Linked DNA regions of Macaca mulatta. The protein of the gene in region 1 purifies or fractionates together with the protein of each later gene. This does not show direct contact. Links are inferred from orthologs where the notes say so. Each region holds a gene or a part of one and is shown on either strand. Other genes may lie near its edges.

Region 1 (5,488 bases):
AATTTTTTTCTTTTTCTTTTTTTCCCTCCTGCCTAAGGAATAAGGACTCACATTTTTGATGATGCATTTGTTTTTACAAGAATGTTGAGCTTCCAAGTAAAACCTCTGTGAAATCAGAGCATAAGTGATTAAGGTCACTATAATTCATCCAGCAATTAATAAATGTAAAATACCTTTTAATCATAAACACTATGATTTAAACATATGTGGAGAGAACTCCAAAAAAATTCTTTTTAAGGCATGTAAAAAAGGCAAAAAGAAACCAATCATGTGTTTCTAATGGTTAATCACTAACTTGTAAGAAGAATCCCAAAAATTATCAATAGAAATTCACAGTATTTCAGGAACACTCTGAGGTATCTTCCCTCTGTAGATTTTCAGACATCATTGTCTACTGATGGAGGGCCTCCAACTTGATCCAGAAATCAAGCTGTGTAGACTAACAGAAACAGAATTAAAGCAATTAAGTGAGTCAATTCACCTCATCACACTTTGGTTTTTTTGTGCACCTAATAAAAATGTTGCAACAGAAGTAGTAAAGTGGCGTTAAACCAATCAGAGTTTGGGAAGACTAGTAATTAGCATAAGAAACTGAAAATTAATTAAGTGGCTTTTAGGGCCAGGCACGGTGGCTTACGCCTGTAATCCTAGCACTTTGGGAGGCTGAGGTGAGTGGATCATTTGAGGACAGGAGTTCAAGACCAGCCAGGCCAACATGATGAAACCCCGTCTTTACTAAAAATACAAAAATTAGCCGGGCCTCGTGGCAGGCGCCTGTAGTCCCAGCTACTAGGGAGGCTGAGACAGGAGAATCGCTTGAACCCGGGAGGTAGAGGTTGCAGTGAGCCGAGATCGTACCACTGCACTCCAGCCTGGGCAACAGAGCGAGACTCTGTCTCAAAATAATAATAATAATGTGGCTTTTTTTCCTTCTTTTTGTTTTTTGAGAAATGGTCTTGCTCTCCTGCCAGGGATGGAGTGCAGTGGCATGATCAACTCACTGCAGCCTTTAACTCCTAGGCTCAAGCAATCCTCCCACCTCAGCCTCCCCAGTAGCTGGGACTACATGTCGGTGCCACTACATCCAGCTCACTTTTTTTTTCTGTATAGATGGGGCCTCACTATGTTTTGCCCAGGATGGTTTCTAACTCCTTGCCTCACGTGAATCTCCAGCCTCCGTCTCCCAAACTGCCGGGATTACAGGTGTGAGACACCGCGCCAGGCCCAAGTGGCATCATAAACTATCTCTAGGAAATCTAAAGAAAGGATTAATAGTGATATTCACTTCTCTATCAGATTCACTGCGAAAATTTTTCTATATAAGCATAACGCATCAACACTAACTTATATACACAATAATCTTCTCCACAGCAATGATTTGTTAGACATTACGAAATCCTTTATATATTTAATAATTCAATCCTTTATATCTTCAATAATCCAATCACAAAGTTTAAAAATATTAAGAGAAGTTATCATGTAACTCCTCACCCCAATTTCATTACAAATTTTACTTTACTAACTTTGACCTGATGTTCCATGCCCACAAGCTAGATAACAATGCGTCAAATATCTCGTTATCACTGCAAAGCAAAAAAATAAAGCTAGCTTTAATATAAAACTTTAACTAGTATACAGCCTGTAGTAGTTAAAACAATATAAAATTTTACTTAACCAGATACTCCACGTTAAACTCTAGGAACATTAACATGGAAACATTCTCCGCATCTAACACATTCCGAGATAAAGTACAGATCCGTTGAGAAAGGGAACTAACATTCTGACCTCCTTCCAAAATGACAAACTAGAACGGCAAAATTACACTCAGGCACACTGGAGTACTCTTCCCTCAAATCCCTCCACAGAGCACTTCATCATTTGCTCCGCCCTCTAATAACTCATGCAAGAAAAGTTCAGCACCATCAGAGAGAAACAAGACAGAATTCAGAGAATGGCTTTAGGGCCTTTCCTCCAGGCGGTAAGAGGATCTGCGTGTGCCCTTCGCAGGGGTCCAAAGGGAGAGAACAACCTAGGCCTAGGGTTTCGGGGATACTGACACCCAGAAACAGATTTTCTCTCAAAGAAGTTTCTGCCGCCATCCCTATCTTATCAGCAGGAGGCCCCGGCGCCATCGTCTCCGTCTTTATGATTTTATTATGGGGAGGTGGGAAACGCCACCCAGGATTCCTCCAGGCCTCCCCGATTCAGCTTCGGGGTCCCCCTCATTCTTCCCTCTAAGCCGCAGTCCCCGGGTCCTCCTCGGCACCCCCGCTTCTGGCGGCCTATCCCCCGGGAAGTGTACGGGCACGGCCGAACCCACCGGCCTCGCCGTGAAGGCGGGAGGGCCCGAACCCGCCAGGGCCACGGCGATGGCTCCGAGGGGCCCGGAAAGGGGAAGGGCAGGCCGGGGACCGGGGCAGGATGACCTGGCCGGGGAAGAAAGGAAAACGGAGGTGAGGAGACGCACCGCCCCGCAGGGCTGCACCGAGAAGGGAGATGATGAAGGAGGAGGAGGAGGGCGGTGGCCCGGGTGCGGCCCCCCACTCCTCCCGCCCCCGGGTCCCCGGGCCGGCGGGGGCGGCGGACTCGGCCCATTCCCAGGTCTGGGCTGGCGGGGGGCTGGGGGATCTCCCTCCACACTACTAGGAGACAGAGAACGAGGGTCTCGGGAGCGCGGGGGCTGTCTCCCGCCTGAACCCGGAGACCCCGACGCCGTCGTCGCCTCTTCCTCAGGAGGGAGGACGGGAGCTGTGGGTAAAGCCCGAAGGAGGAATGCCTGAAGGTGAGGGGCAGCCCGGGGCAGACCCGCCGCCCGCTCCGGACCCCCCCCTCCACCTTCCGGTAACCGCGTCTCTTACCGGTGATGGCGGTGAACTGTTGAATTAACCCCTTCAGCGCCGAGGACGCCGCGGAGCCCCCGTGGGCAGCCATCTTACCGCCGCCGCCGCCGCCGCCGAACAACAACACAGACACACACGGACCGCCCTCCCCCACCTCGCCGCGCGGTGTGCGCAGGCGCATTGACCGCCCCTCAAGCCCCGCCCCCAAGCCCCGCCCCTCCCGGCCCCCTCCAGTGGTCTGCGCAGGCGCACTTGCCCACCGGGCCGGAGCGCTACCCGCTCTCCGGTTGGCTGCTCGGTTGCTGCCTGCCCGGTGCATCGTTTTTGCCACTGCTGGTGCTTTCCTCTCCGGGCTCCAAGGCTAGTCTCGCAGGCGCAGTGTCGATTCCTACATTCCGAAGGAAGCTTCCGTCTTGGCAGATATTTCGCATTTCAGCTTCGCGAGCTTTATTGACAGGGCCAACTCCGGTAACGGTATTTTTTCTGCTTCGCAGTTGCTCCGCGCTCTGTTAGGTCCCATCAAAATACAAACCCTGCCTCCTCGCTTTGAAGCGACTCTCCCCGACCCCGCCCCCCAGCCTCTAGACTAATGGCTCAGCTCACCGACTGTGGCGAGTGAAATTCCAGAACCCTTCATGCCAAAGAAAGCACCTAGCGCAGGGTTGACACCCAGTGGGTTTTCATCAGCGATTATTTAGTCTGCTTTCCTTAAATAAATCGGCCATCACGTCTCCCGTTAGCGTCTTAGTGAGACCCCAAGAGGTGTCATGTGTATAAAAAGAAACTCTGTATATGCAATAGAGTTGAGAAGACATATAGAAAGGAGACTGGAAAAGTGTGCTCAAAACGCTGGTAATGGTTACCTTCAGAGGGGAGAACGATGGGCACGATGGTCAAAGCAGACTTTACTTCGAGTTTCTTATTTATCTTTTTATTTTTAAACAAACATTACTGGCCGGGCGCGGTGGCTCATAACTGTAATCCCAGCACTTTAGAAGGCCGAGGTGGGAGAATCGCTTGAGGCAAGGAGTTCGAGACCAGACTGGGAAATATATCAAGAATCCATCTCAAAAAAAAAAATTCGTGTGTTACTTGAATAATTTTATTTTGTAAAACAGTTACATGAGTGGGGTGCGCTCAAATCTAATGATTCCCCACCTTGCCCATAAAGTTTTGTGTTTTTTTTTGTTGTTTTTTTTTTGTTTTTTTTTGAGACGGAGTCTCGCTCTGTCGCCCATGCTGGAGTGCAGTGGCCGGATCTCAGCTCACTGCAAGCTCCGCCTCCCGGGTTCACGCCATTCTCCTGCCTCAGCCTCCCGAGTAGCTGGGACTACAGGCGCGCGCCACCTCGCCCGGCTATGTTTTTGTATTTTTTTTAGTAGAGACGGGGTTTCACCGTGTTAGCCAGGATGGTCTCGATCTCCTGACCTCGTGATCCACCCGTCTCGGCCTCCCAAAGTGCTGGGATTACAGGCTTGAGCCACCGCGCCCGGCCCCCATAAAGTTAAAAGAGATTCCGTGCGGCCGGGTGCCGTGGCTCACGCCTGTAATCCCAGCACTTTGGGAGGCCGAGGTGGGCGGATCATGAGGTCAGTAGATCGAGACCATCCTGGCTAACACGGTGAAACCCCGTCTCTACTAAAAATACAAAAAAATTAGCCGGGCGAGGTGGCGGGCACCTGTAGTCCCAGCTGCTGGGGAGGCTGAGGCAGGAGAATGACGTCAACCCGGGAGGTGGAGCTTGCAGTGAGCCGAGATTGCACCACTGCACTCCAGCCTGGGCGACTGAGCAAGACTCCGTCTCAAAAAAAAAAAAAGGAGATTCCATGCGATTCTGTTTGTTTTAGCCTCCTACCTTCCAGCCTCCACCCACATATTTTGCATCTTCAGAGGAAAATGGCCCAATAAAAGATGGGATGAGCTATCTGAAGAATTGACACATCTTAAGAGTAAATATGCTATTGGGGAGAATTTAAATAGCCATGTCAAATCAAGGGGTATAGTTTTTTGTTTTGTTTTGTTTTGTTTGACAGGGAGTCTCACTCTGTTGCCCAGGCTGGAGTGCAGTGGCGCAATCTCAGCTCACTGCAACCTCCATCTCCCCAGTTCAAGCGATTCTCCTGCCTCAGCCTCCCAAGTAACTGGGATTACAGGCACGAACCACCACGCCAGACTAATTTTTCTATTTTTAGTAGAGACGATGTTGACCAGGCTAGTCTCAAACTGCTGACCTCAAGTGATCCGCCTGCCTCAGCCTCCCAAAGTGTTGGGATTACAGGCATGAACCATCGCGCCCGGCCGGGCTATAGTTTCAGGAAGATATGATTACTGTAAAAGAAAGCAGACTCCAGTAATCCCAGCACTTTGGGAAGCCGAGGCGGGCGGATCACCTGAAGTCAGGAGTTGGAAACCAGCCTGGCCAACATGGCGAAACCCCATCTCTACTGAAATTACAAAAATTAGCTGCTGTGGTGGCGCAGGCACCTGTAATCCCAGCTACTTGGGAGGCTGAGGCAGGAGAATCACTTGAACCCGGGAAGTGGAGGTTGCAGTGAGCCTAGATCATGCCACTGCACTCCAGCCTGGGTGACAGAGCAAGACTCCATCTCAAAAAAAAAAAAAGTATTTTAAGTTCAATGACAGATTGG
Region 2 (4,920 bases), on another chromosome or scaffold:
CCCAGGAGGGAAGCAGAAGGTAACTGGCTTCCTGGTTTAGTATCAGCATTGGGTATAGGGCCAGGGGCTTTAGGCTCTGTACCTGTCTATGGAGAGGGGTCATCTGAAGGATTGGGAAGCCCTCACTGTCACTGTCCTGAGCTTCACAGAACCCCCTGAGGTGGCTAGACTCTCACTCCAGTATTCTCCTGATTTCACACACACAACAGACAACTGACACACCTCAGCCCTGCCCCTGCCATCATGGCCACCAGAGGAAGGGTCTGCTGTGGGTCCCTGGACCCAGCAACAGAAGCACATCTGAGGTAGCTCCTCAGGGAACTTTCAGGAGAACTAAGATAATGTGACCTGATTAATAATTCAAAGTCACAAAACAGGAAAATAGGCAGATCACCAAATAGGGACCAGAAGGGTTTTGAATAAGAGACAGATCTGATCAGACGCACATCTTCGGAAAGCCACTGGGGGCAAGAAGACGCTGAATTGAGGTATGGAGTGAGGCTGGACCACAGTGGTACTGGGGGTGGCACTGTGGAAGGAGGGACATGTTGTGCTCCACCCCACCAAGGAGAGCAGGTAAGGGTAAGTCCCTTGGGCCTACTGACCCAGGCTTTGTCTCCAGAACTGGGGTGAGGCTGCCCCACCCCAGAGGGCTGGCACAGATCCTCCTCCTGTCCTGAAGGACAGCCAAGACAGACTTACCTTTTAATATCTCCAGGCTTGATTGGGGAGGGGCTGGGCTCCACCCCTTTCTTCTTTCCATCCAGTCTATTGCCAGAGCCGGAGAAAGCCTAGACAGGAAGCAGTTGAGTCATATAATGAGCCCAAGTGTGAGGACAGATATGTCCTTTGCTTGGAGATCACTGCAGGGATGTGAGCTGGGGTGCTGTGCAGACCCTTCAGGACCGAAGCCCTGACTCCTCAGCTGCTGGGGTGCTGGCAGCTGAGAACTCTGCCCAGTTCCTCAGGGGGCGGCCATGAGCTGAAGAGAGCCACTTGGCCAAGGGCAGCCAGCAGTCAGTGTTAGGTTAAAAGGCCTGACCCCTGCCTCTGCAGGGCCACCCAGTTCAAGCTCTGTGGGTGGGCTAAGGTCACTGTTGTGACTGCCCCATAGCTCAGCTTCCCATCATTCTGCTGTCTCTGCTGCTTCCTGGCACCTCCTGCCACCTCAGTGCCCACACATGAGCCACCTCCACCTGTTTCCCACGGAGCCTTGCCAGTGGTTATGCTAAGGGTCATGTTTGCAACCCACATGGTACAGGCAAAGAAAAAAGGAAACATGATTTACAAGAGAGAGAAAGCAAATGTGGTAACGTTTGGTGAACCTAAGGGAAGAGTATATGTCTACTGTACTATTTAAACTCTTCGGTAGGTTAGAAATTCTTAAAAAGCTGGGCTGCCTTATGGGGCTGTTGGGAAGATTCCAGCAGAGAGTAGATATAAAAGTGTTTGGTAACTGAGCAAGTGGTAGATTTGCATGCATGTGCACAGGTACCCAGAGGCCCAGCCCCTGCTGATGTCCATCGAGCATCATGAAGAACAGCTTGAGTGAGTGCTCTAATTTCAAGGAGCAGAGGGCACAGCAACGTAAGTCAAGTGGTCTGGTACTCACGCGGAAGCCCAGCTCTCCAGCATAGCCACTGTGGCCGGCTTCACCTTCCTGACAGAGAAAAAGAAAAATAGGTGAGCTCCTCAGCGGGAACACCCAGCTTCCCTCTCATCCCCCACCCCCAGCTAGAATGTCCCCCGGAAGCATGGCTGGAAGGGACGCAGAGGATATGACACCAACACCAGCAGAGGCCACCCACGAGTCACTACCAGGAACTCAAAAGCAGCATGCAGCAGGACAGCAAAGGACACTGGGGATAACACTTACTGTCGACTCCTCATGCTGGACTTGTCTTTCGGGTTCTTTGTAGCCCAGGGGAGCATCAAAGTCCACCTGTGTTTCCAGGATTTTAAAAGTAAAATATTCAGACATGGCCACCCTTGGCTTCCTTATCTTTTTTGCTTTTAATTGAGACAATTATAGATTCACATGCAGTTTTAAGAAATAATACAGAAAGATGCCTTGTACACTTGCCCAGTTTTCCCAACGGTAGCATCTTACAAAATTACAGTAAAGTATTGCTGCTAAGATATTAACACTGGCACAACCCACCACTCTTATTCAGATTTCCCAGTTTTACATGTTTTTGTTTATGTGTATCTTTAGTTCTACACAATGTAATCACTGTGTAGGTCCATGTATCCACCACAGTGGAGATGTAGAACAGTTTCACCACCACTAGGATTGCCCATGTTGTCTTTTTATAACCATACCCAGCTGTCTCCCAGCCCCCTCCACCAGTCCTAAGCCCTGGCAACCCCTAGTCTGTCTTCCATTTCTAAAGCTCTGTCACTTTAAGGATGCTATATAATGAAGTAACTTTTTGGGATTGGCCTTTTTTGCTCAGCAGTATTGCCTAGTAATACAACCAGGATGCTGTGTGCATCAGCACTTCATTCCTACTCAGAAGGTTCAGCACGCTTCCTTAGCTCTTAAGAATATTCACTCCTCAGCCAGGCGTGGTGGCCCATATCTGTAATCTCAGCACTTTGGGAGGCCAAGGTGGGTGGATTACCTGAGGTGAGGAGTTTGAGACCAGCATGGCCAACATGGTAAAACCTCGTCTCTACTAAAATACAAAACTAGCCGAGCATGGTGGCACATGCCTGTAATCCCAGCTACTCGGGAGGCTGAGACAGGAGAATCGCTTGAACCTGGGAGGTGGAGGTTGTAACCAAGATCAGGCCCCTGCACTCCAGCCTGGGCAACAGGAGTGAAACACAGTCTCAAAAAATAAATAAAAAAATAAAATTCACTCCTCAACAGGTCAGAGCTAACCATGGCAGCACTGGCAACACTCTGTTGCCTCAACTGGCCCTGAGATAGATGACAAGGTCACAGTCTCCTCATGATGTTCTGACAGCATCTTCCTCCTCTTTGCCCAAAGAGTCCCAGGGGCTGTTTGATGCCCTCCTGACACCCTGGCCTGCAGTGGTCACCAAGTGCCCATCCTCCCAGGGCCCAGGCTCACTGTAACTGGACAGAGCCACTCACGTTCATGTCACACTCAATGATGGACACTGCCTTGTCAGGTTTGGTCTCCATCACACGCAGTTCGTAGATCTGTGGGGCAAACACAGAAATCAGTTGGATGGTTTCCTGGCAGCACTGAAGCTGTCGCTGTCCATGTTACTGTGGCTCTACCGGCTCCCGCGAATGACACAGCATTCACGCCCACGACACAACCTACAGCTGCACTTCTTGCTGTGACAACACTACCATAAGGGACAGGCTGCCCTGTGCCCATCGCAGAAGAGATGCTGTTCCCCAGATGTGGTTCAAATTAGACAAGGTAGTTATACAGCTAACTGCAAAAGACACTAACAATCTCTAACTCAGAAAGTTCACTTCTGGAACTTTACTATTTATTTTATTTTTAGACAGAGTCTTGCCCTATTGCCCAGGCTGGAGTGCAGTGGTGTGATCTCGGCTCACTGGAACCTCCGCCTCCTGGCTTCAAGCACTTCTCCTGCCTCAGCCTCCCTAGTAGCTGGGACTATAGGCATGCGCCACCACACGTGGCTAATTTGTGTATTGTTGTAGAGACGGGGTTTCACCATGTTGACCAGGCTGGTCTTGAACTCCTGACCTCAGGTGATCTGCCCACCTCGGCCACCCAAAGAGCTGGGATTACAGACATGAGCCACCGCACTTGGCCTTCAAAATTTATTCTAAGTAAATAACTAGCTATTCCCAATGAGAACATTCTAAGAAGGCTCATACCAATGTCACTAATGCCACTGTACAGATGCGCCTTGACTTACGATGGAACCGAGTCCCATAAACTTATCATAAGTTAAAAATGTATTAATACTCCTAACCTACCAAACATCATAGTGCAGCCTGCCTTAACCATTCTCAGAACACATACGTTAGCCTAGAGTTGGGCAAAATCATCTAATATAAAGCTTATTTTATAATCAAATGTTGAATAACTCATGTAATTTATTGAATACTGTACTGAAGATAAAAAACAATGGTTTTATAAATATTCAAAGTATGGTTTTTACTGAATGTGTATCATGTTTGAATCATCACAAAGTTGAAAAATTCTAGGTAGAACCACGGTCAGGGACTGTCTGTATACTCAAAAGGCAGCTGAATTATATTTGTTCATATATAAATTTATAGTTATACAACAGTATGCTATGCAGCCAACAGGAAAAGAATTTTAAAACCAGTCATGTTGCTTGTGTCTAAGATGACCTCGCGAATGTAAAAAATGCACATGAAAAATGTCCAGAAGCAGGGCTGTGCATATTGGCTCACACCTGTAATCCCAGCACTTTGGGAGGCTGAGGCAGGCGGATCACGAGGTCAGGCGAACGAGACCATCCTGGCTAACATGGTGAAACCCCGTCTCTACTAAAAAATACAAAAACTTAGCTAGGAGTGGTGGCAGGCTCCTGTAGTCCCAGGAGGCTGAGGCAGGAGAATGGTGTGAACCCGGGAGGTGGAGCTTGCAGTAAGCCGAGATCGCACCACTGCATTCCAGCCTGGGCGACAGAGTGAGACTCCATCTCAAAAAAAAAAAAAAAAAAAAAAAAACTTCCAGAAGCACAGAAATTAAAAGTGGCCCTATCTACTTTTTCCTGCATCATTTCAGGTTCTTTGCTTTTATCTAAAGTCTGTCTTGCTTTTATTTTTTTGAGATGGAGTCTCGCTCTGCCACCCAAGCTGGAGTGTAATGGTGTGGTCTCAATTCACTGCAACCTTCGCCTCCCAGGTTCAAGCGATTCTCTTGCCTCAGCCTCCCAAGTAACTGGGACTACAGATGCATGCCACCACACCTGGCTAATTTTTGTATTTTT

Evidence for each region. Proteins that work in one complex are often made in the same cells at the same time.
Region 2: the proteins of UBXN7 (region 1) and UFD1 purify together in Homo sapiens (affinity purification with mass spectrometry; 3 studies listed by BioGRID and IntAct, with this or other methods). This does not show direct contact. The link is inferred for Macaca mulatta from reciprocal best matches to the Homo sapiens genes UBXN7 and UFD1.

Annotation. Positions count from the first base shown.
Region 1 is NC_133407.1:1,971,761-1,977,248, forward strand, and holds the start of UBXN7 (UBX domain-containing protein 7), read right to left. Parts: upstream 3,279-5,488; 5' UTR 3,160-3,278; coding exon 2,859-3,159; exon of another isoform or gene 928-2,858; intron 1-927. UniProt on the Homo sapiens protein: Ubiquitin-binding adapter that links a subset of NEDD8-associated cullin ring ligases (CRLs) to the segregase VCP/p97, to regulate turnover of their ubiquitination substrates.
Region 2 is NC_133415.1:33,250,163-33,255,082, reverse strand, and holds part of UFD1 (ubiquitin recognition factor in ER-associated degradation protein 1), read right to left. Parts: intron 3,173-4,920; coding exon 3,104-3,172; intron 1,943-3,103; coding exon 1,877-1,942; intron 1,661-1,876; coding exon 1,613-1,660; intron 792-1,612; coding exon 703-791; intron 1-702. UniProt on the Homo sapiens protein: Essential component of the ubiquitin-dependent proteolytic pathway which degrades ubiquitin fusion proteins.